Arabidopsis thaliana: one gene and its partners. The protein of the gene in region 1 interacts with the protein of each later gene in a biochemical or structural test. Each region holds a gene or a part of one and is shown in the gene's direction. Other genes may lie near its edges. The genes, in order: TFL2, RING1, LIF2 and CMT3.

Region 1 (4,948 bases):
ACCCTTATATTAGACATAAATAAATTATAACATAAACTTTTAGATTTCACTAATTTGTAACCACTAAATTTGTTTGAACATATATAAACAGGGGTAGCAATTGGAGCAGGGATGCAGAGTATGGTAGCATTAGTGAACTTAGCATCTTATTATGCAATTGGTGTTCCTTTAGGTGTCCTCCTTGTTTACGTTTTCAATTTTGGGATTAAGGTACATCATATATATGAAAACTGGTATCCAGTACTTCATTATGATCAATCATTAGAACTTTTAGAATTTTAACTTGAATAAATGATATTGTATGCAGGGACTCTGGTCCGGAATGTTGGCTGGAGTTGGTATCCAAACGTTGATATTGTGTTATGTTATTTACAAAACTGACTGGGAATTGGAGGTAATTTACTTTTAATATATAACTCAAAATTTTTATTAGAAAATTCGTCATATTAAATGTATAATTTTATCTAATTACAGGTTAAGAAGACAAACGAGCGTATGAAAACGTGGACTCTAAATTTACCTGCTGTACAATCGACTACTATCTCCACAAGAGATGAAGAGAGAAAGTGAACATACAACTAAGTTAATTTAAAGAAATCTTTTAAGAAATTCTTTATAAAAAAAGAAAGAATAATTTATGTTGTATTGTGGTTGTGTTTTGCATTCCCTAAGAATGAAGTATCGGTGTTGAGATTGCATTATTAGGTTAATGCAACTCTCATAACTTTGAAAAAGGTTAAGAAGGATGAACTTTTTCTTTTATCAGAGAAAAAGGTTGTTCTCTTGTTCTTCGGATATACTCTTTCTAAACAAAAAAAAAATTGTGGGAGGTTTGAAATTTTAACTTCTTTCTTGATTTTTTAATGGATGTATATTTTGTGTGTGGGGAAAAAAATTCCATTTGTTTGAGTGCTTGTAATCGTGAATTTTTACAAAAAAAATATTCTCATATATATTTCGAGGAAACGTTACAAACTTTCATAAGCTCACCATCAAATAAAATACTCATTTATTTATGTTGAAGTCAAAACGTTCCATTTTTCCCCCTATTTATGAACCGATCCTAATGAATGTTTTTTTTCTTCCTTTTTACTTCTTTCATATCACCATTTTAAATAATAATAGTAATTATTATTTTTCTAACGTTTAAACAAAAAAAGAACTGCAAATTTTATAGTAACAATTCAAATTTAACAAAGCGATCAAAACATGCATCATTTAGTGTACAAGTACTAATCACAAAGAAACAAGTTTTGGTTGGACAAAGTATAGAACAAACACACTAAACTGAAGAAAATAGAACTTTAGCCCACCAAAAGTTGAGGCTAAAACTCGAGCAGTAATCACATAGTTACTATCAAGATAACTATACTTTGGAATGAAAGAATCTGAATCTCGATGAAGTTTATCTTGGAGAAGGACTTTCTTTTCTGTTGGTTTGGATGAGATATTGCTGAAAATTATTGATGATGATGTTAGGAGATCCAACTAAGTTGTCTGCCTTTGCAGTGCACTTGGAGACTTGGAGTGAGAATCTTAGTTTATGAGACTTATTTTCTGATTTTTCAATCTCCTTTGATTTTTTTTTAAGTTGTAATAATGTCCTAGTTGATTTCCTTGTAAAAGGAGCAAGAGCACGATGTTCTTTTATTTCTAATTTAAAGAAAATGTTTTCAGTTTAATATATTTTTCGATTTAATTTACCTTCACATATTTTCTTCAGTAGTATTTATTATTTTCATATTAGTAATTAGAAATAATCTCTTCTAATTAGATTATAAACGTTAAGAATTTGCTGTATTCAACTTTTCCTATTGTGATATTAAAAAAAAAAAAAAAAAAGAGAATCCAAAAAAGTGAAAAAACTGGTCTTTGAGGTCAGGTCAGGTCTTCTTCCTGCAAAAACAAAAACCTCAGAAATAGAGAAAAAGTTTCAATCTTTCTTCATCTTCTTCCTCCAAAATCCTTGATTTCTAAAAAGGAGAAGAAGAGAAGAGAACGCGATTACCTTGATTCACCCTCCTCCTTCAGGTTTGGGAGGCTCGAATACTCAGGAAATGAAAGGGGCAAGTGGTGCTGTTAAGAAGAAACCCCAGGTGTTGAACGAAGCTGGTGAGGCGGAGACGGCGGTGGAAACAGTCGGAGAAAGCCGGAAAATTAGTGGAGACGGTGGGTTTGGCAGTGACGACGGCGGAGGGGGAGGTGGAGGTGGAAGTGGAGAGTCGATTCTTCGCGAGATTGGTGATGATAGGCCTACGGAGGATGGAGATGAAGAAGAAGAAGAGGACGAGGATGAAGATGATGGAGGTGATGAGGAAGATGAAGAAGGAGAAGGAGAAGGTGGGCAAGAGGAAAGGCCAAAGCTTGATGAAGGGTTTTATGAAATTGAAGCTATTCGTCGTAAGAGAGTTCGAAAAGTAAGCTCCTTTTTTCGTCTTCACTCAGCAAATGTGGTTTGTTTTTGTTAACCATAATTAGTTGAGGTTTTAGGTTTTCTAGGTTTAAGATAAGTATCAAACGTAGGTTACACATTGGTGTGAGAAAGTGGCTGCTTTAGTAGTTAGTAATCATCGTAACAGAGTAGTTTATAACGAACCAAAGTTTTGATTCTGTGGTTGTTATATGTTGTAGGAAGAAAATGATCTTTAATGTTTGATATCTTCTTGGATTTGATTGATTGAATGATTCTGATTCTGCATTTTGGTACTGTTTTTTTTTTTGTATTTGTAGGGCAAGGTTCAGTATCTAATTAAATGGTGAGTTTTTCTAATCTTACTTGGTTTCATTTTTAAGTTTGTTGTTCTTGATTAAACATATGTTTTTCCATTGACATAAGTTATAAACTCGGTTGTGAAAGGCGCGGATGGCCTGAAACTGCCAACACATGGGAGCCTTTAGAGAATCTCCAGTCTATTGCTGATGTTATAGATGCCTTTGAGGGAAGGTAAGTAAATGGAATCTTATATAAAAGTTTTGTGATACTTTTGAATTGATTGTTTCATGGATTTTCTTGGTTTAATGTATGGATTTGCTTTCTTGTTTCATATGTTTCAAAGTTTGAAGCCAGGAAAGCCTGGTAGGAAACGGAAGCGCAAATATGCAGGTCCTCATTCTCAGATGAAGAAGAAGCAACGTTTAACATCTACATCACATGATGCTACTGAGAAATCTGACTCTTCTACGTCTCTCAACAACTCTAGCCTTCCTGACATTCCTGATCCACTAGACCTAAGCGGTTCGAGTCTATTAAATAGAGATGTGGAAGCGAAGAATGCTTATGTATCCAACCAAGTTGAAGCCAACAGTGGGAGTGTTGGGATGGCCCGACAAGTTCGTTTGATTGACAATGAGAAAGAATATGATCCAACACTTAACGAGCTACGAGGACCAGTCAACAATAGTAACGGTGCAGGATGTTCTCAAGGAGGAGGCATTGGTTCTGAAGGTGATAATGTAAGACCCAATGGCCTTCTCAAGGTTTATCCTAAGGAGCTTGATAAGAACAGTCGTTTCATAGGTGCTAAGCGGAGGAAGTCTGGTTCTGTGAAAAGATTCAAACAAGATGGATCCACAAGTAACAACCACACAGCACCTACAGATCAGAATCTGACACCAGATTTGACTACATTAGACTCTTTTGGTAGGATTGCAAGGATGGGGAATGAATATCCTGGTGTGATGGAAAATTGTAATTTGTCTCAGAAAACCAAGATTGAGGAGTTGGACATCACGAAGATACTTAAACCAATGAGTTTTACAGCATCTGTATCAGACAATGTCCAGGAAGTGTTGGTGACCTTTTTAGCGCTGAGGTTTGTCTCTTTAGCTCTTTGGTCATTTCTCGTAATTTGATTTCATATTTGTACAATTGTACTTATTTGGTTACTCTCATAGGTCTGATGGGAAGGAAGCATTGGTGGACAACAGATTTCTCAAGGCTCACAATCCTCATCTCGTAAGATTATCTTTATAGCTTTTTTTTTCTGCACTTACTCATTTGGAAGTTTCTTATTAGCTTTTCTAATTTGTTTTTCCCACACCAGCTGATTGAATTCTATGAGCAACATCTCAAGTACAATCGAACGCCTTAAATCATCCGGAATGGTAAGAATTTGTTTGTACACAGCCCTTGTAGGTAGAAAAGATTAGATGGCTTCTTTATTCTAGCAGTGCAACATGTAGAGTCGAGGTAGCGACAATTGGATTTTGTATCGCGTCTCCGGGAGGTTTCAGATTGTAATTTATCTCCTCGGGTTCGTTGTGTTCACTCTCTATCTCTATCATAGTAAATCTTGTTACTTGGACCTTTGCTTCTTATAGCGGAAGTTTTCTTGTACTTGCTTCTTCAAAGATCAAGTTCATGATATGTTGATGTTATCAAAATATATGTGATCAATCAATATATAATAATTATGTTTACAAGCAAACCAAGTAATTTTTTTTACTTTCGTATGACATTTCGCTGATGTAATTTGGAATGACGCTCTCGAGCCAAAGGAACTGGAAGAAACTTGATCCTCTTGGGATTTAGTTGTTCCTTATGCAAGAACTCAGTTTCATATGCTCTTCTTTTCAAAATTCTTGCGTCATCAAATGCCTTTGGAAGATCCAAATCAGAACTCTGAATTTTGTCAGAGTCATTAGAGAACTCTTGCATCATGTCTTTGAGTGATATAAGGTGTACCGCACATTTTTTAACCTCTCCAAGCGGGCTAAAGGAATCTCCTTCTGTGTTTTCGACTGAGAATTCAAACAGGGCTTCGCTGTAAGCTTCCATGGACGTGCAGGTTCTGCTGAATAAGAGAAGGTGATCTGATCCAAAATACATGTTTGTGAAAGCTTTTGGATCAGGATACCACACCTCATCCATAACAACCAGCTCACAAGCATCAGCATCTTTTAATATACAAGAGCAGTGTATCTTCAGATTGTTCATCGGGTACTGTCC
Region 2 (3,688 bases), 2.6 Mb from region 1:
AGTGCGAACAATTGTTTCAGAGCTCCATAATCTGCTCCGCTTCTATCTACAACACTGTCAAAAGACAATTGAACGTTTTATTAGCAAGGTTTGAGAGACAAAAAGGTAAAATTTCTACACAACATTTGATCTTTTGCTCTTTAATTTTCTGTCAACAAATAACCTTACTGAATGTCTACTTCTGACTCCGATATTGATTAAGAACAATCGTGTAGGGTAAGGGATATTTGAAGGATGCATAAGCTTAGGTGTCCTATTTTTCCTGTGAACTTGTCCAAATTTTGATGTGCATTAACGTTTGTTTATATTTTTGTAGGGGGTGAATGCTGTCTGGAACCAACTCATAACGGGGCTTATCGTGTTAAAATTACTGCTTATGCAACAAGACCCGTTGCGGAGATGCGGAGAGAACTTGAAGAACTCTTAAGAGGAAGACCCATAAACCATCCAGGCTTCACACGTAGAGTCCTGCAGCATCTTATGTCCAGAGATGGTATTAATCTGATGCGGAAGATCCAGCAGGAGACAGAAACTTACATTCTATTAGATAGGCACAATCTCACAGTACGCATTTGTGGAACAAGTGAGAAAATTGCCAAGGCAGAACAAGAACTGATTCAGGCACTTATGGATTATCATGAGAGCAAGCAACTTGAAATCCACCTCCGAGGTCCTGAGATCCGTCCTGACCTCATGAAGGAAGTTGTGAAGCGGTTTGGTCCGGAGCTCCAAGGTATCAAAGAAAAGGTGCATGGTGTGGATCTCAAGCTCAACACCCGGTACCATGTTATTCAGGTTCATGGGAGCAAAGAAATGAGGCAGGAAGTACAAAAGATGGTCAATGAACTTGCACGAGAAAAGAGTGCACTGGGTGAAAAACCAGATGAGATTGAAGTTGAATGCCCCATTTGCTTGTCTGAAGTTGATGATGGCTACTCTCTTGAAGGATGTTCACACCTCTTCTGCAAAGCTTGTTTGTTGGAGCAATTTGAGGCATCGATGAGAAACTTTGACGCATTCCCAATACTTTGTTCTCACATAGACTGTGGAGCTCCAATAGTACTCGCTGATATGAGAGCCCTCTTATCACAAGAGAAGCTCGATGAACTCTTCAGCGCATCCTTGTCCTCTTTTGTAACATCCAGTGATGGAAAGTTCAGGTTTTGCTCCACACCTGATTGCCCTTCCGTCTACCGTGTAGCTGGACCTCAAGAATCTGGTGAGCCATTCATCTGTGGAGCATGTCACTCAGAAATATGCACAAGGTGTCACCTCGAGTATCACCCGTTAATCACTTGTGAAAGGTACAAAAAGTTCAAGGAAAATCCGGACTTGTCGCTAAAGGACTGGGCAAAAGGGAAGAACGTAAAGGAGTGTCCGATTTGCAAGTCGACGATAGAGAAGACTGATGGGTGTAACCATATGAAGTGCCGGTGTGGAAAGCACATTTGTTGGACCTGCTTAGACGTCTTCACTCAAGAAGAACCTTGTTATGCCCATTTAAGGACAATTCATGGTGGAATCGGATTAGTCGAGTAAGGTGTCCCAGAGGACCCCGTTGCCCAGCCCGACTAGACCGGACCTATGTATCTATATTCTGTAACATCTGGTATGCTTAATGTGTACATATGTGAAGATAGTGTAGTTCGGTAGTTATACCTTCTTTAACCAACTGAAAAAACCGATCATAATCTAAACCGGATGCCAAATAAATTAAGATTGTTGTAAATGAAAGACTTACTTGACTCGCTACATGACTGATTACGCGTAAATGTCTACAGAGAGTTTACTAAGTTGAAAGGAAACTACTTCCTAACATACAGAGACATCGCCTTTAATGGCGTTATCACTTTCAGGAAATTTCCACCCACTTTCCAACCCTTAAAAAGGACAAATCCTCTCTAATTCCTAGTCTTGTAGATTGTGATGTGTGTGGCTGTGTACCCACTTATTTCCTCACGAAGATTTTTTGGGTCATGACTCTTGTCTAGATTCTAACCCATTTTGTGGGTTTTAGTGTCCTATTTCTTTTTGCTTTCATCAGAAGCAAAAACTTGGAATTGTGTGTCATACCCATTTTCCCCTGTTCTTGTTCTGTTTTCTACTAGTTGTGTCTGAAAGTAAAGTCCTCTGTTTTTGCTCTGTTTATGTCGTCTCTGAACTCCTACAATGGCGTTTAATCACAGAAAAATGCTTCTTTCATGTCTACAGTTTAAAGATTTACGCTTTTGTTTCCGGCAATACCCTCCCCCGCCACCACCACCACCGCCACCGAGGGAGCTCTCTCTCCTACTCCCCACCTCGATCTGCGTCGTCGGCTCAATCATACTCTTTCTATTTCTAGTCTTCTTCCTCTACCTCCACATCACGCAACAACGGCGGATTTCAGCCGCCAGCGTAACTCCCGGTGACACAAACCAACAGGAAGATGAGGACGAAACAGAGGAGAGAGATTTCTCCGACTTTCATCACGTTTGGCAAATCCCAACCGTCGGTCTCCACCGTTCCGCGATCAACTCGATCACAGTCGTTGGATTCAAAAAGGGAGAAGGGATAATCGACGGCACAGAATGCTCTGTCTGCTTAAACGAGTTTGAAGAAGACGAGTCGCTGAGACTGTTACCAAAGTGTAGCCATGCCTTTCATCTAAATTGCATCGACACTTGGTTGCTCTCTCACAAGAACTGTCCTTTATGTCGTGCCCCTGTACTTCTTATCACTGAACCACCTCATCAAGAAACAGAGACGAATCATCAACCAGATTCTGAATCGAGCAATGACCTCCGTGGAAGACAAGACAGTTCCAGATCTAGAAGAAACCATAACATTTTTCTTCCAAGGGCACAAAGTGATTTGGCAAACTACTGTGGCTCAGGAAGAGTAGAAAACGTGAGAAGATCGTTTTCAATTGGAGGAAGCTTATCACTTTGCGATGGTATTAACAATGCTACTAGAAGTGGAAGACAGTTCTATACCAGCTTCAGTGCTAACTTGTTCTCATCATCAAGAAGAGTAAGGAACGAACAACCGATTCCACAAAACCAAATGCCATCCGTAACTGGTAACACCAGTTAATTGGTGTAACTACATTGAAGCTTAATGTAATATCTAGTGTGTTATATACAGTATCTGAAATAAATCGAAACTTTCAATGTTTCAATATTATATGATCAACGAGCAGCAAAACCAAAGAAATTAAGGAAAATAAGTTCTATTAAACAGGAGAGAGTTTCGTTGGGGTATTTCATCGAACACTTCAAGGCTAACTAAACCAAAGTACCTAACAACTGAAAATTAAAACGAGCCAAAGCTCAACACTTACAAGAACCCATTACTACTAAAACGCAAATCAAAATCCAGAAATAGAGTTCCATTGACGAACTAAATCAAAAGATATAAACCATAACAACAGTCTTCAAGCTCTTTCTCCTCTGATTCTCCTCGCGAGCTGGATATCCTTAGGCATGATGGTGACCCTCTTAGCGTGAATGGCGCAAAGATTAGTGTCTTCAAACAAACCAACAAGGTAAGCCTCAGCAGCCTCTTGTAAAGCAGCAACAGCACTGCTCTGAAACCTCAGATCCGTCTTGAAATCCTGAGCTATCTCACGAACCAGACGCTGGAAAGGAAGCTTACGGATCAGAAGCTCAGTGCTCTTCTGATACTTCCTGATCTCTCTCAAGGCAAC
Region 3 (5,759 bases), on another chromosome or scaffold:
AGCAAGCAAAGATGACTTTAAGGTGTATGCAAGCTCTAGTTCGAGTCCAATCTCGTGTGCTTGACCAACGGAAACGCTTGTCTCACGATGGTAGTCGCAAATCTGCCTTCAGCGACACTCAAAGTGTGCTCGAATCTCGTTATCTTCAAGAAATATCAGACAGAAGATCCATGGTGAGTGATCTCTATAAGTTTCAGAACACCATTGTTGCTCTGTTTCAACGACCATTTTTGCTCTGTTTCAGCAATCAGCTATATAAAGCTAACATTTTGAAATGCCTTTTTTGTTGTTGTGTAGTCAAGAGAAGGAAGTAGCATTGCGGAAGATTGGGATGATCGACCACACACGATTGAGGAAGTGAAAGCAATGTTGCAACAAAGACGAGACAATGCGTTGAGACGTGAGAGTAACAATAGTATATCACAAGCTTTCTCTCACCAGGTAATAGATATGAATTCATATTAATCGTTTGTTTGTTTTCGGTAATTTGATTCGTTTCGGTGTTTGATTTCGGTGAAAGGTTCGGAGAACAAGAGGTAGTTATTCTACAGGAGACGAGTATGAAGAAGAGAGACCGAAATGGTTAGACAGATGGATGGCTTCTAAACCGTGGGATAAACGAGCTTCAACGGATCAAAGAGTACCACCGGTTTACAAAACCGTGGAGATCGATACTTCTCAACCGTATTTAACCCGCGGTAACTCGAGAACCGGTGCAAGTCCAAGCCGTAGCCAAAGGCCTAGTTCACCATCAAGGACCAGCCACCATTACCAACAACACAATTTCTCATCAGCTACACCATCTCCGGCTAAATCTAGACCGATACAAATTCGATCCGCTAGTCCGCGGATCCAAAGAGATGATCGGTCAGCGTACAACTACACATCAAACACACCTAGCTTGAGATCTAACTATAGTTTCACAGCAAGAAGTGGTTATAGTGTTTGTACCACTACTACTACTGCTACAAATGCTGCATTGCCAAACTACATGGCGATTACGGAATCTGCTAAGGCTAGAATCCGGTCTCAGAGTGCACCAAGGCAACGGCCTTCAACACCCGAGAAAGAACGTATCAGTTCAGCTAGAAAACGGCTTTCGTTTCCAGTTCCACCGCTGCCGCAGCAAATGGATGGTCAGAGTTTAAGGAGTCCAAGTTTCAAGAGTATAGGTGGCTCACAATTGGGTGCATTGGAACAACAATCAAATTACTCTTCTTGTTGTACTGAGTCTCTTGGTGGTGGTGGAGAGATATCACCTGCTTCTACTAGCGATTATAGGCGATGGTTAAGATGATTCCATAATCCAACCAAATCAACCGGTCATGATTTTTTTCCTCCCTTTTTTTTTTTTGTTATATATAAATAAAAACAATTTGACAAAAAGAACCATAACTTTTTCAGTTTTTATTGATGATCTTTGAGATTGGTGTGTAATTTTGTTTGTGTTTATGTTTGTGTGTGTGAATTTGTAGCTTATAATTGGAAGTGTTTACTAACTAATCTCTATATAAATATGTATGCTCATATTTTTATCTATAAATGTTGCAATTAGGATGTGAACAATAGTTTATCAATCTGTCATGGTATCTTTGTTAATTATATGGAATCTTTTTAGTATAAAATAACGAAAATTTTCACTGGCCTTATTTGTTTTTACATGCAAAGTGAAGTTGTTAAGAAAACCATAAAAAAAAGCTGCAACTTTGCAACTTGAGATCCACGAGCAAGGAACATTACCCATGTGACATGATTCCTACATGATCAGTCTTGTCTTCTACGTTATACACTACTACTCTATATCCACCTAAATATAAATTAAATGCTTCTGAAATGGAATAATTTTAAAACAGCACGTAGTTTTCATATCACCAAAGAAAACGGCAGGGCTGGCAAAATCACGAATTTTTTAAACAGGTATAATAAAGAACTAGAAAACACTAGGCCCAATAAAAACAGTGGGCTTAAAAAGCGTTTTGATTTAGGGTTAATGTGTGCGTAACATGTGATCATAGCCCACGAGTGGGTAAGGAGTGTCTTCATCTTCTTCTACCGGAGATCGAGAAATAGCCGACGAAGTTTTGTTTTTTGAGTAAAACAGTATTCGTCGGACAACCGAAGCGAAATCCCTAATTTCCCACAACACGAAATACCAATTTCCCCAATTCGAAAACAAACACGGTCTGGTATGCCGAGAAAATTCTCCATTTCTACTTTTCTTATACATTTGTTTTGGTTGTTTCATATAAATACTTCTCATCTTCTTCGATTTTGTTACCCTCCCCCAAACAATATAAAAAAAAAAGGATAAACCCTAGTTTCTTTCTCAGACTGTTTCAAGTTCAGATTTTTATTTCTGAGCTTAACTGGTGAGTAATTTGCTTTCTGGAGAGATGTGTGAGTTACGATCTCTAATTTCATTGGTTGCTTCGGTTATGGCTTGATTCTTCTCTCTGTTATCAATTTGGATCTGGAATCATATATATACATACACAAAAACTCTGCTCTTTTTCAAAGTTTTGATTTTTATCTCATTTGACGCTTGTTTCGTGATAGCAATGAACTACAATTCTTCTGTATCTCTGCCACTAAAAGAACCTGAATTTAGTTTGAACCATCCTTTCTTCTCCACATTTTTTTAAACGAAAAAGAGCAGTTCTCATATCACCCATTATAAGCTTTTTTTTTTGGTGTATGGTCCTATAGCATTTTTTTAACAGTGATTACCTGAGCTTCGTGGTTAAAAAAGAGTATGGTTATTGGATGACCAGATGTCAGACGCAAGAGATAATGATGACCGTGTGGATTTCGAGGAGGGTAGCTACAGTGAGATGGAGGATGAAGTGGAGGAGGAACAAGTAGAAGAGTATGAAGAGGAGGAAGAAGAAGATGATGATGATGATGACGTTGGCAATCAGAATGCCGAAGAACGTGAGGTGGAGGATTATGGTGATACAAAAGGTGGGGATATGGAAGATGTTCAGGAGGAAATAGCTGAAGATGACGACAACCATATTGATATTGAGACAGCAGATGATGATGAGAAACCACCATCTCCTATTGATGATGAAGATAGGGAAAAGTATTCCCACCTTCTTTCACTTCCTCCTCATGGTTCTGAAGTTTTTATTGGTGGGCTCCCAAGGGATGTTGGAGAAGAGGACCTGAGGGATCTATGTGAAGAGATAGGCGAGATCTTTGAGGTTCGAACTGCAATAATCTTTGTGTTTCATGATATACTCTTTGTTGGTTCTGTATTTACGACTGAATTTTAATTCCTTTTCTATTAGGTGAGACTGATGAAAGATAGGGACTCTGGTGATAGCAAAGGCTATGCTTTTGTAGCTTTCAAAACCAAAGACGTTGCACAAAAGGCCATTGAGGAGTTGCACAGTAAAGAGTTTAAGGCAAGCTCAACTGCTAACTGTAGCTTAAGTTTATCGGTCATTGCTAGTTTGCATTTTACTTATAACAATTTTGTTTAACCTATACCTAATTTTTGTACAGGGAAAAACCATAAGGTGCTCTCTTTCCGAAACGAAGAATAGGTTGTTCATTGGTAACATACCAAAGAACTGGACTGAGGATGAGTTTAGAAAAGTCATAGAGGATGTTGGTCCTGGAGTGGAGAACATCGAGCTCATAAAAGTTAGATGACTTAATCAATCTGATTGCCATGCTTGATCTTACTTAATTGCCTTACTAATTATCTTCTTGTTACTTGTAGGACCCAACAAATACCACTCGTAACCGTGGTTTTGCATTTGTTTTGTACTATAACAATGCATGTGCTGATTATTCAAGACAGAAAATGATAGATTCTAATTTTAAGCTTGAGGGTAACGCTCCAACTGTGACTTGGGCAGACCCAAAAAGCTCTCCTGAGCATTCTGCTGCTGCTGCTCAGGTATTATTTAAATAGAGGGTTTAGTCAATCTGCACAAAAACCTCTCTCCTGGCAAAGTTGGCACTTTTTTGACAATCTCTTTTGCGTTATATACTCAGGTGAAAGCCCTTTATGTCAAGAATATTCCAGAGAATACCTCAACAGAGCAGCTAAAGGAACTCTTTCAGAGGCATGGAGAAGTGACCAAAATCGTTACACCTCCTGGAAAGGGTGGAAAACGTGATTTTGGGTTTGTCCACTATGCTGAAAGATCTAGTGCATTGAAGGCTGTCAAAGATACCGAGAGATATGAAGTCAATGGTAAGTTTTTTTAGTCATCTAGAAGACAGCTATTGAGTATTATGAACGTTATGCTATCAATTTGTCTCTAATGGCGTATGTTTTTTCGTCTCAAGAGATGTTATTGAGTAACACATTCCACAAACTTGCAAACTACAGGTCAACCACTAGAAGTTGTGCTTGCTAAACCCCAGGCTGAAAGGAAGCATGACCCTTCTTCTTATTCTTACGGGGCTGCACCTACTCCTGCCCCCTTTGTGCATCCCACGTTTGGTGGTTTTGCTGCGGCTCCTTACGGTGCTATGGGTGCCGGTTTGGGTATTGCCGGTAGTTTTAGTCAGGTATATATGTTTCTAAGAAAGAGCTGTTTGTCATCCTTGACTAGTCTTATCAGCCATTGTTTTGTGTAACGTTTGGTTTTAATTTTGCATTGAGCAGCCAATGATCTATGGTAGAGGAGCAATGCCAACAGGGATGCAAATGGTTCCAATGCTTCTTCCCGATGGCCGAGTTGGCTATGTTCTGTAAGTCGATGGTTCTTGTAAACAAATTTGTTGATCCTTCTCTATTGATTCATATTTACTTTCGCTTAATAAATAACCAATATGGATTGCTGTGCAGGCAACAGCCTGGTATGCCGATGGCAGCAGCACCACCACAACGACCAAGAAGAAATGACCGGAATAACGGCTCAAGCGGAGGGTCAGGCAGAGATAACAGTCATGAACATGATGGTAACCGAGGAGGCCGAAGGTACCGACCCTACTAGTAACCATAGAGAAAAATAAGCAAGTAGAAAAAGAAAAGGAGAAGTGTATTGGGATTTGTTTGTAGTTTGTTTTTGGAGAACTTTAAAAAGCTCTCTCTCATGTGTTATAAAATATGAAATCGAAACCTTATGGTTTCTGGTTTGATATGGAGACTGCTGGGGGGATAGGATTGAGTGATTCGATCTTTAAATTATGAGACTTTTTAGTTTTTTCTCTTCTGAATAATACTCTTATCAATTATCCATCAGATTTGGTGTTTTTGCTTTCCCTAGCCCTTGTGCAACGTTGTTTACTTATACAACAAGTTATCACTGGGTCTCATCACATAACATTACAGTCTGAAGATGTCAAACGAACTTAGACTTTCAACAAGAAGCAAAGAAATGAATCAAATCAATTACAATAATACAACAACAATTGGCAATGAGAATTCTTTTTGAGTAGAGAGTTATCTACATTGGAGTGCAGTTGAAGGCTGTTTCGAATATGATTGATTGATTTTGTTTCAACTTTCAATCAAGGGTCGATGTCAGAACAAGTTGGAAATTCAAGGCCTTCAAGGGAAGTTATGTTATCGATATCGTCTTTAGAGTACAATGGGAGGAGCCAAAACGCCTTCTTCTTCCCAAAAACCTTCACAAGATGAAAACAAAGAGTTATATATTTAATTAACTAACAATCCATGGAATGATGAAAACAATAAAATCTCACCTGCTCGAAGTTTTTCTTCTTTCCTAAGTCATATTTCCATCTGACTTCTCCATTTTTCTCATGAACCTAAAAAAATAAGACAATGATTCAGA
Region 4 (7,777 bases), on another chromosome or scaffold:
TCGTGTCACACCACTCCTAGTCCTAGCGAACTAGCTGCATAGTGTAAAATACTTTATATATGAAAAACTTAGACATAAATATATATATACGTGTGCGTGTGTGATGCATGTTTATTGTTTTTTATTCAGGCCTATATGCATTCTACATGTTTTAGATCAAGATGGTGATACAGAGACACTACTAATACAAACACTTGCATAAATCCTCTATGATTATGTCATTCGTATTCATTATTTTAAAAAGAAAATTTACGTCAATACTTGAAATACATTAATTGATATATGTTTTCCTAGTTTTGGAGAAAAGGGTGGTGTTCATATGTTGCAAAACACAAACATGTAAATACAGCAAAGAAGACATAGTGGACCCATGACAAGAAATAAGGCCCAAAAGTTGGGCTAATTTCAGCCATCACGACAAAGGCTACTTCTCATTTCGACATCCATATTATTCTATTCTTGTACACTTCTCTTTCATTCACTCGTCATTAATATGCCTTCAATCTAATATATTTAAGGACACAATTATACACACGTCCATATATAAACTTATATTGTTGCCTTGTTGGATATATATAAAAGTTATTGTAATTAGTAGTTACTAGTTAGAGTAATTTTCAGGTCTAATAGTGATGAGATTAACGTATTTTCTTCTTTAAATTTCAGTTATTTGCAAATAATGTCACTGCTCGATTTCCTGGAATAAAGGAGCTAATAAGAGTATCATGTTCTCCTTCATGTTACCATTTCACGTTTGCACGTTTTTTTTTTTTTTATTATGAACAAGATTACGATCACACGTTCGGTTTGTTGTTTAGTCGTTCCAAGTGTATAGGAGTTTTATCCACACAAAAAAAATTTTGATAGGAATGTGTAATTCCATAAAGATTTCCATCGTTACACACTAAAGTTTTATCTTACGCGCCACGCCGTTTGTGGAGTAACCGAGTAACTAATTTACTACTAGTCTTGATGTTGGTAGGATTAAATAAAAGAATCATGGAGATAGGATACGATTGTGTTTGAATAATTCAATATGTTTATATCTGGAAAGATCTACAAATTTGATATGATCACTAAGATTGTGGGAATTTATTCAAATCCAAAACACATAGTTACAAATCATATACAAATATGGAAAATAAATAATGTCTAATAACATTTGTGTAACATCATCTTTAATGCGAGTCATTTAGAAATGTAACTTTTTTTCTTTCTGATATGTTTATTTCTGGAAATATATACAAAATTGACCTGATCACTAAGATTGTGGGAATAATTCCAAACCAATATAGAAAGTGATAATTTATTAAAAACTGAACATTTGTGTAATCTTTTTTTTTTTTTTTTTAATGTAATGTCAAATTATATTCAAAAAAAACATATACTTTTTTACAACTTGTGCTTCATGTGTAAGAAAGGGAGAGTGCTAAAAAAAATTCTGAAATTGTCCAAAAATGATTAGATCTTTCGTAGAGTCGATGTTGACTACCCCGGGAATGAACCCATTTGTGTAATCTTTTAACATTTATTAAAAACAAATCATAGATAGCTAAGATTGTGGGAAGAATTCCAAACGAAATTAAATTCACACTAACACATTTACTAAAATCATAGATAGATATAGAAAGAAAAAACTTTTCTACTAATTTTTTTGACATTTGTGTACTCATTATAGCGAGAGAAAGAGATGGGCCTCAAAACTTTTATTAGGCCCAAACGTTTTAAATTCATTATAAAAATAAAACAATTCCACGAAAATTTCGAAACCCATCACTTTGGCGCTTATGTGACGCGCTTATTTCGCCCTCAATCTCAGATTATTTAGTCCTCACACTCGTCACACCCCCGCTTCCTAGGGTTTCATTTCGTCTCTTTATCTTCCTTCGTCTCTTTAGCTTCCTTCGATTCTCTGACTCAATCATGGCGCCGAAGCGAAAGAGACCTGCGACAAAGGATGACACTACCAAATCCATTCCCAAACCGAAGAAGAGAGCTCCTAAGCGAGCTAAGACGGTGAAAGAAGAGCCGGTGACAGTGGTCGAGGAAGGGGAAAAGCATGTTGCGAGGTTTCTAGACGAGCCAATTCCAGAATCTGAAGCGAAGAGTACCTGGCCTGACAGATACAAACCGATTGAGGTAATTTCATACATCGGAAACTGGAATTTTGGGTGTTTGTGTATGAAATAGTTAGATCTAGTTGAAATTTGCTGAGATTTGTTGCAGATCTGTTGATTTCTGAAGGATTTTTTGTTTGTTTTGTTTCAGGTACAGCCACCTAAGGCTTCGTCAAGAAAGAAGACGAAGTAAGTTCCTTGAATCCTTTGGTTCTTGTGTATAGTCAGATTGAGAGGCTTTACTTTTGTTTGATTAGAAATGTTTTTTGTTTCGTAAATAGTTGATTAAGTGAATTCGTTTTGTAGGGATGACGAAAAAGTTGAGATCATTCGTGCTCGATGCCATTATAGACGTGCGATTGTTGATGAGCGTCAGATATATGAGCTGAATGATGATGCTTATGTACAGGTATGACTCTATTACGTCTAAATTGCATTTGTTACATTTTAAAGCGTAGATTTATGTGGTACATTGAAGAAAATGAGTTAGAGAGGAGAATGTGCATGACATTGTGTTTCTTGGTGTTTGAGTTTGATGACTATTGAGGTTTTACCACTTTTTTAATGTGCCAACATGGTTTTACTGTGTAGAAAATTTTGATGTGTAGGGTAAATAATTAACCAAAGTTGATCACATTCTCCTCCCTCACCACTATCAACTGTCCGCAATAAATATTTGTGCATTGTCTCTGTTTGTCATGCTTTGTATATCTCCAAGTCCTTATGATAGTAGTTACCTTTCGAAGCTGAGTTCTCATCTGTAACAATAACTAGCTGATTGTTATTTAGACTGGCATTGCATATTATGCATTGGCTATATGAACGTTTATCATGTTGTTTTATGTTTTTCGTACAGCGTAGGTAGATGCTTTACCATATATAACTTCTGTTTTTAACAACTGAGTTTTGTAATTTTTGTGCAGTCTGGTGAGGGAAAGGATCCCTTCATTTGTAAAATCATTGAAATGTTTGAAGGGGCTAATGGGAAACTGTATTTCACGGCTCGGTGGTTTTATAGACCTTCTGATACTGTAAGAATAAAAAAAATCTTCTTCTTCACTTTCTCTTTAATCTATGTTGAATTGTCTGAAGTTTTTTTTCTATTCTTAACTTTCAGGTAATGAAAGAGTTCGAGATTCTGATCAAGAAAAAGCGTGTGTTTTTCTCTGAGATACAAGATACAAATGAATTGGGATTACTTGAAAAGAAGCTGAACATTTTGATGATTCCCTTGAATGTATGTTCTTACTTCACTGTTACTTGTAGTGTATGCTTTTGGTATACAGTATCTTAGTACAATCTTCCATTGATACTGAACTTATTTTTGTTTCTCATGCCAGGAAAATACTAAAGAGACTATCCCTGCAACAGAAAACTGTGACTTTTTCTGTGACATGAACTATTTCTTGCCTTACGATACATTTGAAGCTATACAACAAGGTTAGTGCTTTTAACAATTGATCTTCAAGTTTAGAAACTGCCAACTGGATTAGATAAAATGCTGCAGTTTTTGAAGATAACTAAGCATTTACAGATCTTTCAATTGTGCAGAAACCATGATGGCTATAAGTGAAAGTTCAACAATATCCAGTGATACTGATATAAGAGAAGGAGCTGCTGCCATATCAGAGATTGGAGAATGTTCTCAAGAAACAGAAGGTCACAAAAAGGCAACTTTGCTTGACCTTTACTCCGGCTGTGGAGCTATGTCGACAGGGTTGTGCATGGGTGCACAACTGTCTGGTTTGAACCTCGTCACTGTGAGTCATTTTTGCTTGCTAATAATCTTCTCAGATTTGTTTAATCTCTCAATGCTTAACTTTTGCTTTTTTTTTAAAATGATTCTCAAGAAATGGGCTGTTGACATGAATGCACATGCATGTAAAAGCTTGCAGCATAACCACCCAGAGACAAACGTAAGTTTTTAGTTTTCCTTTCTCCCAATTCGATTGACTACAGAAATTCTCAAGAGCCTAAATCATTTCATTTTAGGTGAGAAACATGACCGCAGAAGATTTCTTGTTTCTGCTTAAGGAGTGGGAGAAGCTATGCATTCATTTCTCTTTGAGAAATAGTCCAAATTCAGAAGAATATGCCAACCTTCACGGTTTGAATAATGTTGAGGACAATGAAGATGTCAGCGAGGAGAGTGAAAATGAAGATGATGGAGAAGTTTTTACTGTTGACAAGATTGTTGGTATTTCCTTCGGAGTCCCTAAAAAGTTATTGAAACGTGGACTTTATTTGAAGGTATTGTTGCTCTGCTTGTACAAATTTCACATTACATCTCATGGTTTAGCCTTGTTATATAGTTAATCATCTCTGGTGTTTTGATATAATAGGTAAGGTGGCTGAATTATGATGATTCTCATGATACATGGGAGCCTATTGAAGGACTCAGGTGAGCAAAACATTAAGAATGTTTGCATTAAAGTTATATATGTTAATGCGTTGTTAAAATCTCTAAATTTGTCCTTGAACAGTAATTGCCGGGGTAAAATTGAAGAGTTCGTTAAACTTGGATATAAATCTGGCATCCTTCCGTTACCAGTATGTATTTTTTATACCTGATTCTTTTGCTTTCCTTAAACTTCTGAAGCTAGTGCATAATTTTCAGATATTTAATCTAAAAGCCAATAATCTAAGTTATTGTATGTGATAAGTTCTATGGGTCTTATGTTGTTCTGCGTCAGTTAATTGTTGAGGGGTGATAGATTTAGTCACAGAACAGTTGATGTTTAGAGCAATATCCTGACATTGTTTATATGTTGTTGATGTTTAGGGAGGTGTTGATGTTGTCTGCGGTGGGCCACCATGCCAAGGAATCAGTGGTCACAACCGCTTCAGGAACTTATTGGACCCTCTAGAAGATCAGAAAAACAAGCAGCTTTTGGTGTATATGAACATTGTAGAATATTTGAAGCCTAAGTTCGTTTTGATGGAAAACGTCGTTGACATGCTGAAGATGGCTAAGGGCTATCTTGCACGGTTTGCTGTTGGACGCCTTCTACAGATGAATTACCAAGTGAGGAATGGAATGATGGCAGCTGGAGCTTATGGGCTTGCTCAGTTTCGTTTGAGGTTCTTTCTATGGGGTGCACTCCCTAGTGAGGTAAAATTCTTAATGTTTTCTCTTTGTTTTATATTAATGAATAGATGCTGTTCTTAATTTGTATCTTTCTGTTTCAGATAATTCCGCAGTTCCCACTTCCAACACATGATCTAGTTCATAGAGGAAATATTGTCAAGGAGTTTCAGGTAAACTGGTATATTAGTACCTTTCAATTTGTTTTAGCAAATTCTCATATTTATTTGTAACTAATGCAGGGAAACATAGTAGCCTATGATGAAGGACATACTGTGAAGTTAGCAGACAAGCTTTTGTTGAAGGATGTGATTTCTGATCTTCCTGCAGTAAGTATTGATGTTTTTAGCAAATTTTGACTAAAATTAGGTACAGTTTGTCTTGAATATTTTCTTACTTCCTATGTTTTTGTATTAGGTTGCCAACAGTGAAAAAAGAGACGAGATTACATATGACAAAGATCCCACAACGCCATTTCAAAAGTTCATCAGATTGAGAAAGGATGGTAAGATTCTTATTATTTTTTTGGGCAAACAGTGTAAAAACATATATTTGACAACTATTATGGCAACTGATGTTCATTAACAAATTGTTTCTGAATTTTTTCAACAGAAGCGTCAGGTTCACAATCAAAGTCCAAGTCCAAAAAGCATGTCTTATATGATCATCACCCTCTTAATCTTAATATAAATGACTATGAACGGGTTTGTCAGGTCCCCAAGAGAAAGGTACAACTTTCTTTATACTCGATTGACGATCATATATTTTTTTGGCTCTGGTCTGTTTTAGTGTCTAGGAATATTCTGATTATTTCAAAACATCTTTTGGTATCAGGGAGCGAATTTTAGGGACTTTCCTGGTGTTATTGTTGGACCTGGTAATGTAGTCAAGTTGGAAGAGGGAAAGGAAAGGGTCAAACTTGAATCTGGAAAAACATTGGTAAGAATGATCATCTCTTTTTTTTGGTCTCATATCAAGTTACTTTTCTCCTGATTGGCTGGCTATGTTATTCAAACAGGTTCCCGATTATGCCTTAACATATGTCGATGGGAAATCATGCAAGTGAGTTTTAATTCTCTTTTCTTCGTCTCTGAAAATTCTGTATTTGACTATTGTTTTCTGTTATGGAAATTGACTTAAGCCCTTCGCTGTTTCCAGACCTTTTGGTCGTCTTTGGTGGGACGAAATTGTCCCCACTGTTGTCACACGGGCAGAACCCCACAACCAGGTGAGACCTCTCATGACAATCAAGTATTTGTTCTGAATTTTGGCTAGTTGTTATTCTAGTGTTCTAGGTTTGCATAGATTTATTAGTATGCATGTTACACTGGAACCAACTTAAAGAGTATAATTGTTTGATGTTGCTGGTGATTGATTGCAGGTGATCATTCATCCAGAGCAAAATCGGGTTTTATCCATTCGAGAAAATGCGAGACTCCAAGGCTTTCCTGATGACTACAAACTCTTTGGCCCACCCAAACAGAAGTGAGTATTGTTAAGACCTTGAGTTTATGTGTGTTCTTGGTGGATTTATTGCTGCTATAGTTCTTAAGACTAATCTTACATAATTTCTGTTTTTCAGGTACATTCAAGTAGGTAACGCTGTAGCTGTGCCAGTAGCGAAGGCCCTTGGATATGCTTTGGGAACAGCTTTCCAGGGACTCGCAGTTGGGAAAGATCCACTTCTTACTCTGCCTGAAGGTTTTGCATTCATGAAGCCAACTCTTCCTTCCGAGCTTGCATGAACACTGTTGATTCATCGCATTTTTCGATTTATCTTCTATTCATTGTTTTCCTAGGATTTATCTTTAGACCATTTGCTGCGGAATTTGGATTTGTTTTGTTTAAGTTTCACGACTTTCAAGTTTAGCAACTCTGAATTTCTGGTAACTTTGTTTTAATCAGATGTTATGGATTTGTGGGATTCTCGTTCTTTTTGTCTAAGAAGAGAACTCATCTTCGGTTCGGTTTTATTACTGTTTCTTGATTAAAGGCAATGTTGGATTCGTTCGGCTACAAAAACTTTGTGCCTTTTAAGATATGGTCCATTTAATAATAGGCCGAACTGCAAATGTGATCTGTTTTGGTAAACATTTTGTGCCTCTTATGAATGAATTCAAGTTAGGCCTATTATTAACTGTACCCTATCTTTTTCAATTCAGTAACTTTCAATTCTACATAAAACACACTATACATTCTTAAGCGGGAAAAAAGTTTTTGGCCTAACGTACTTGAATTCATTAACTTACAATTCTACATAAAACGCTATACATTCCTTTTTCGATGTGGTAAATTGTTATTAAGAATGAATAAAACCATACAAAAATAAGCATCAAAGTAATAAGTTAGCAGAATTGTTAAAGACTTGAAGTAAAACAAATACTTTTACTAGAATAGAGAACAAACCAATGTTTATGGATCATAGAAAAGACTATAATATAACACTCACTAGTTAATCAAATTGCATAGAATACAAGAATGGTCCACTACTCGAACATCGTCGTTATTGTCGGGCATGGTCTATTAATAATACAAATGCATCATCGATTAAGTTGATTAGTTATATTACTTTACT

Evidence for each region.
Region 2: the proteins of TFL2 (region 1) and RING1 form a complex in vitro, tested with the Arabidopsis thaliana proteins (one study listed by BioGRID).
Region 3: the proteins of TFL2 (region 1) and LIF2 form a complex in vitro, tested with the Arabidopsis thaliana proteins (one study listed by BioGRID).
Region 4: the proteins of TFL2 (region 1) and CMT3 form a complex in vitro, tested with the Arabidopsis thaliana proteins (one study listed by BioGRID).

Annotation. Positions count from the first base shown.
Region 1 is NC_003076.8:5,826,647-5,831,594, reverse strand, and holds TFL2 (uncharacterized protein), read left to right. Parts: upstream 1-1,834; 5' UTR 1,835-2,057; coding exon 2,058-2,417; intron 2,418-2,730; coding exon 2,731-2,756; intron 2,757-2,836; coding exon 2,837-2,944; intron 2,945-3,056; coding exon 3,057-3,812; intron 3,813-3,894; coding exon 3,895-3,955; coding exon of another isoform or gene 3,956-3,973; exon of another isoform or gene 3,974-4,043; coding exon 4,044-4,091; 3' UTR 4,092-4,424; downstream 4,425-4,948. Other genes in the region: AT5G17700 (MATE efflux family protein), read left to right, coding at 92-210, 308-394, 475-570; AT5G17680 (disease resistance protein (TIR-NBS-LRR class)), read right to left, coding at 4,442-4,948.
Region 2 is NC_003076.8:3,265,650-3,269,337, forward strand, and holds RING1 (RING/U-box superfamily protein), read left to right. Parts: upstream 1-1,985; 5' UTR 1,986-2,169; coding exon 2,170-3,075; 3' UTR 3,076-3,164; downstream 3,165-3,688. Other genes in the region: AT5G10370 (helicase domain-containing protein / IBR domain-containing protein / zinc finger protein-like protein), read left to right, coding at 1-105, 317-1,539; AT5G10390 (Histone superfamily protein), read right to left, coding at 3,416-3,688.
Region 3 is NC_003075.7:350,011-355,769, forward strand, and holds LIF2 (RNA-binding (RRM/RBD/RNP motifs) family protein), read left to right. Parts: upstream 1-1,958; 5' UTR 1,959-2,186; exon of another isoform or gene 2,187-2,397; intron 2,398-2,741; exon of another isoform or gene 2,742-2,771; coding exon 2,772-3,203; intron 3,204-3,290; coding exon 3,291-3,407; coding exon of another isoform or gene 3,408-3,443; intron 3,444-3,507; coding exon 3,508-3,648; intron 3,649-3,727; coding exon 3,728-3,907; intron 3,908-4,005; coding exon 4,006-4,207; intron 4,208-4,345; coding exon 4,346-4,527; intron 4,528-4,624; coding exon 4,625-4,710; intron 4,711-4,807; coding exon 4,808-4,955; 3' UTR 4,956-5,238; downstream 5,239-5,759. Other genes in the region: iqd17 (IQ-domain 17), read left to right, coding at 1-173, 298-441, 521-1,297; AT4G00840 (DHHC-type zinc finger family protein), read right to left, coding at 5,473-5,589, 5,668-5,733. UniProt on the Arabidopsis thaliana protein: Transcriptional activator that binds DNA on GAGA-like motif and 5'-(C/G)ACGTG(G/T)C(A/G)-3' consensus motif in the promoters of target genes.
Region 4 is NC_003070.9:26,247,666-26,255,442, reverse strand, and holds CMT3 (chromomethylase 3), read left to right. Parts: upstream 1-1,755; 5' UTR 1,756-1,923; coding exon 1,924-2,139; intron 2,140-2,268; coding exon 2,269-2,306; intron 2,307-2,423; coding exon 2,424-2,526; intron 2,527-3,040; coding exon 3,041-3,148; intron 3,149-3,234; coding exon 3,235-3,354; intron 3,355-3,457; coding exon 3,458-3,557; intron 3,558-3,668; coding exon 3,669-3,877; intron 3,878-3,967; coding exon 3,968-4,033; intron 4,034-4,109; coding exon 4,110-4,367; intron 4,368-4,459; coding exon 4,460-4,518; intron 4,519-4,600; coding exon 4,601-4,667; intron 4,668-4,899; coding exon 4,900-5,229; intron 5,230-5,306; coding exon 5,307-5,375; intron 5,376-5,444; coding exon 5,445-5,531; intron 5,532-5,619; coding exon 5,620-5,707; intron 5,708-5,814; coding exon 5,815-5,930; intron 5,931-6,036; coding exon 6,037-6,141; intron 6,142-6,220; coding exon 6,221-6,264; intron 6,265-6,360; coding exon 6,361-6,430; intron 6,431-6,583; and 5 more. UniProt on the Arabidopsis thaliana protein: Involved in the CpXpG methylation (e.g. CHG cytosine) and in gene silencing. Methylates preferentially transposon-related sequences. Functionally redundant to DRM1/DRM2 to maintain non-CpG methylation. Involved in RNA-directed DNA methylation.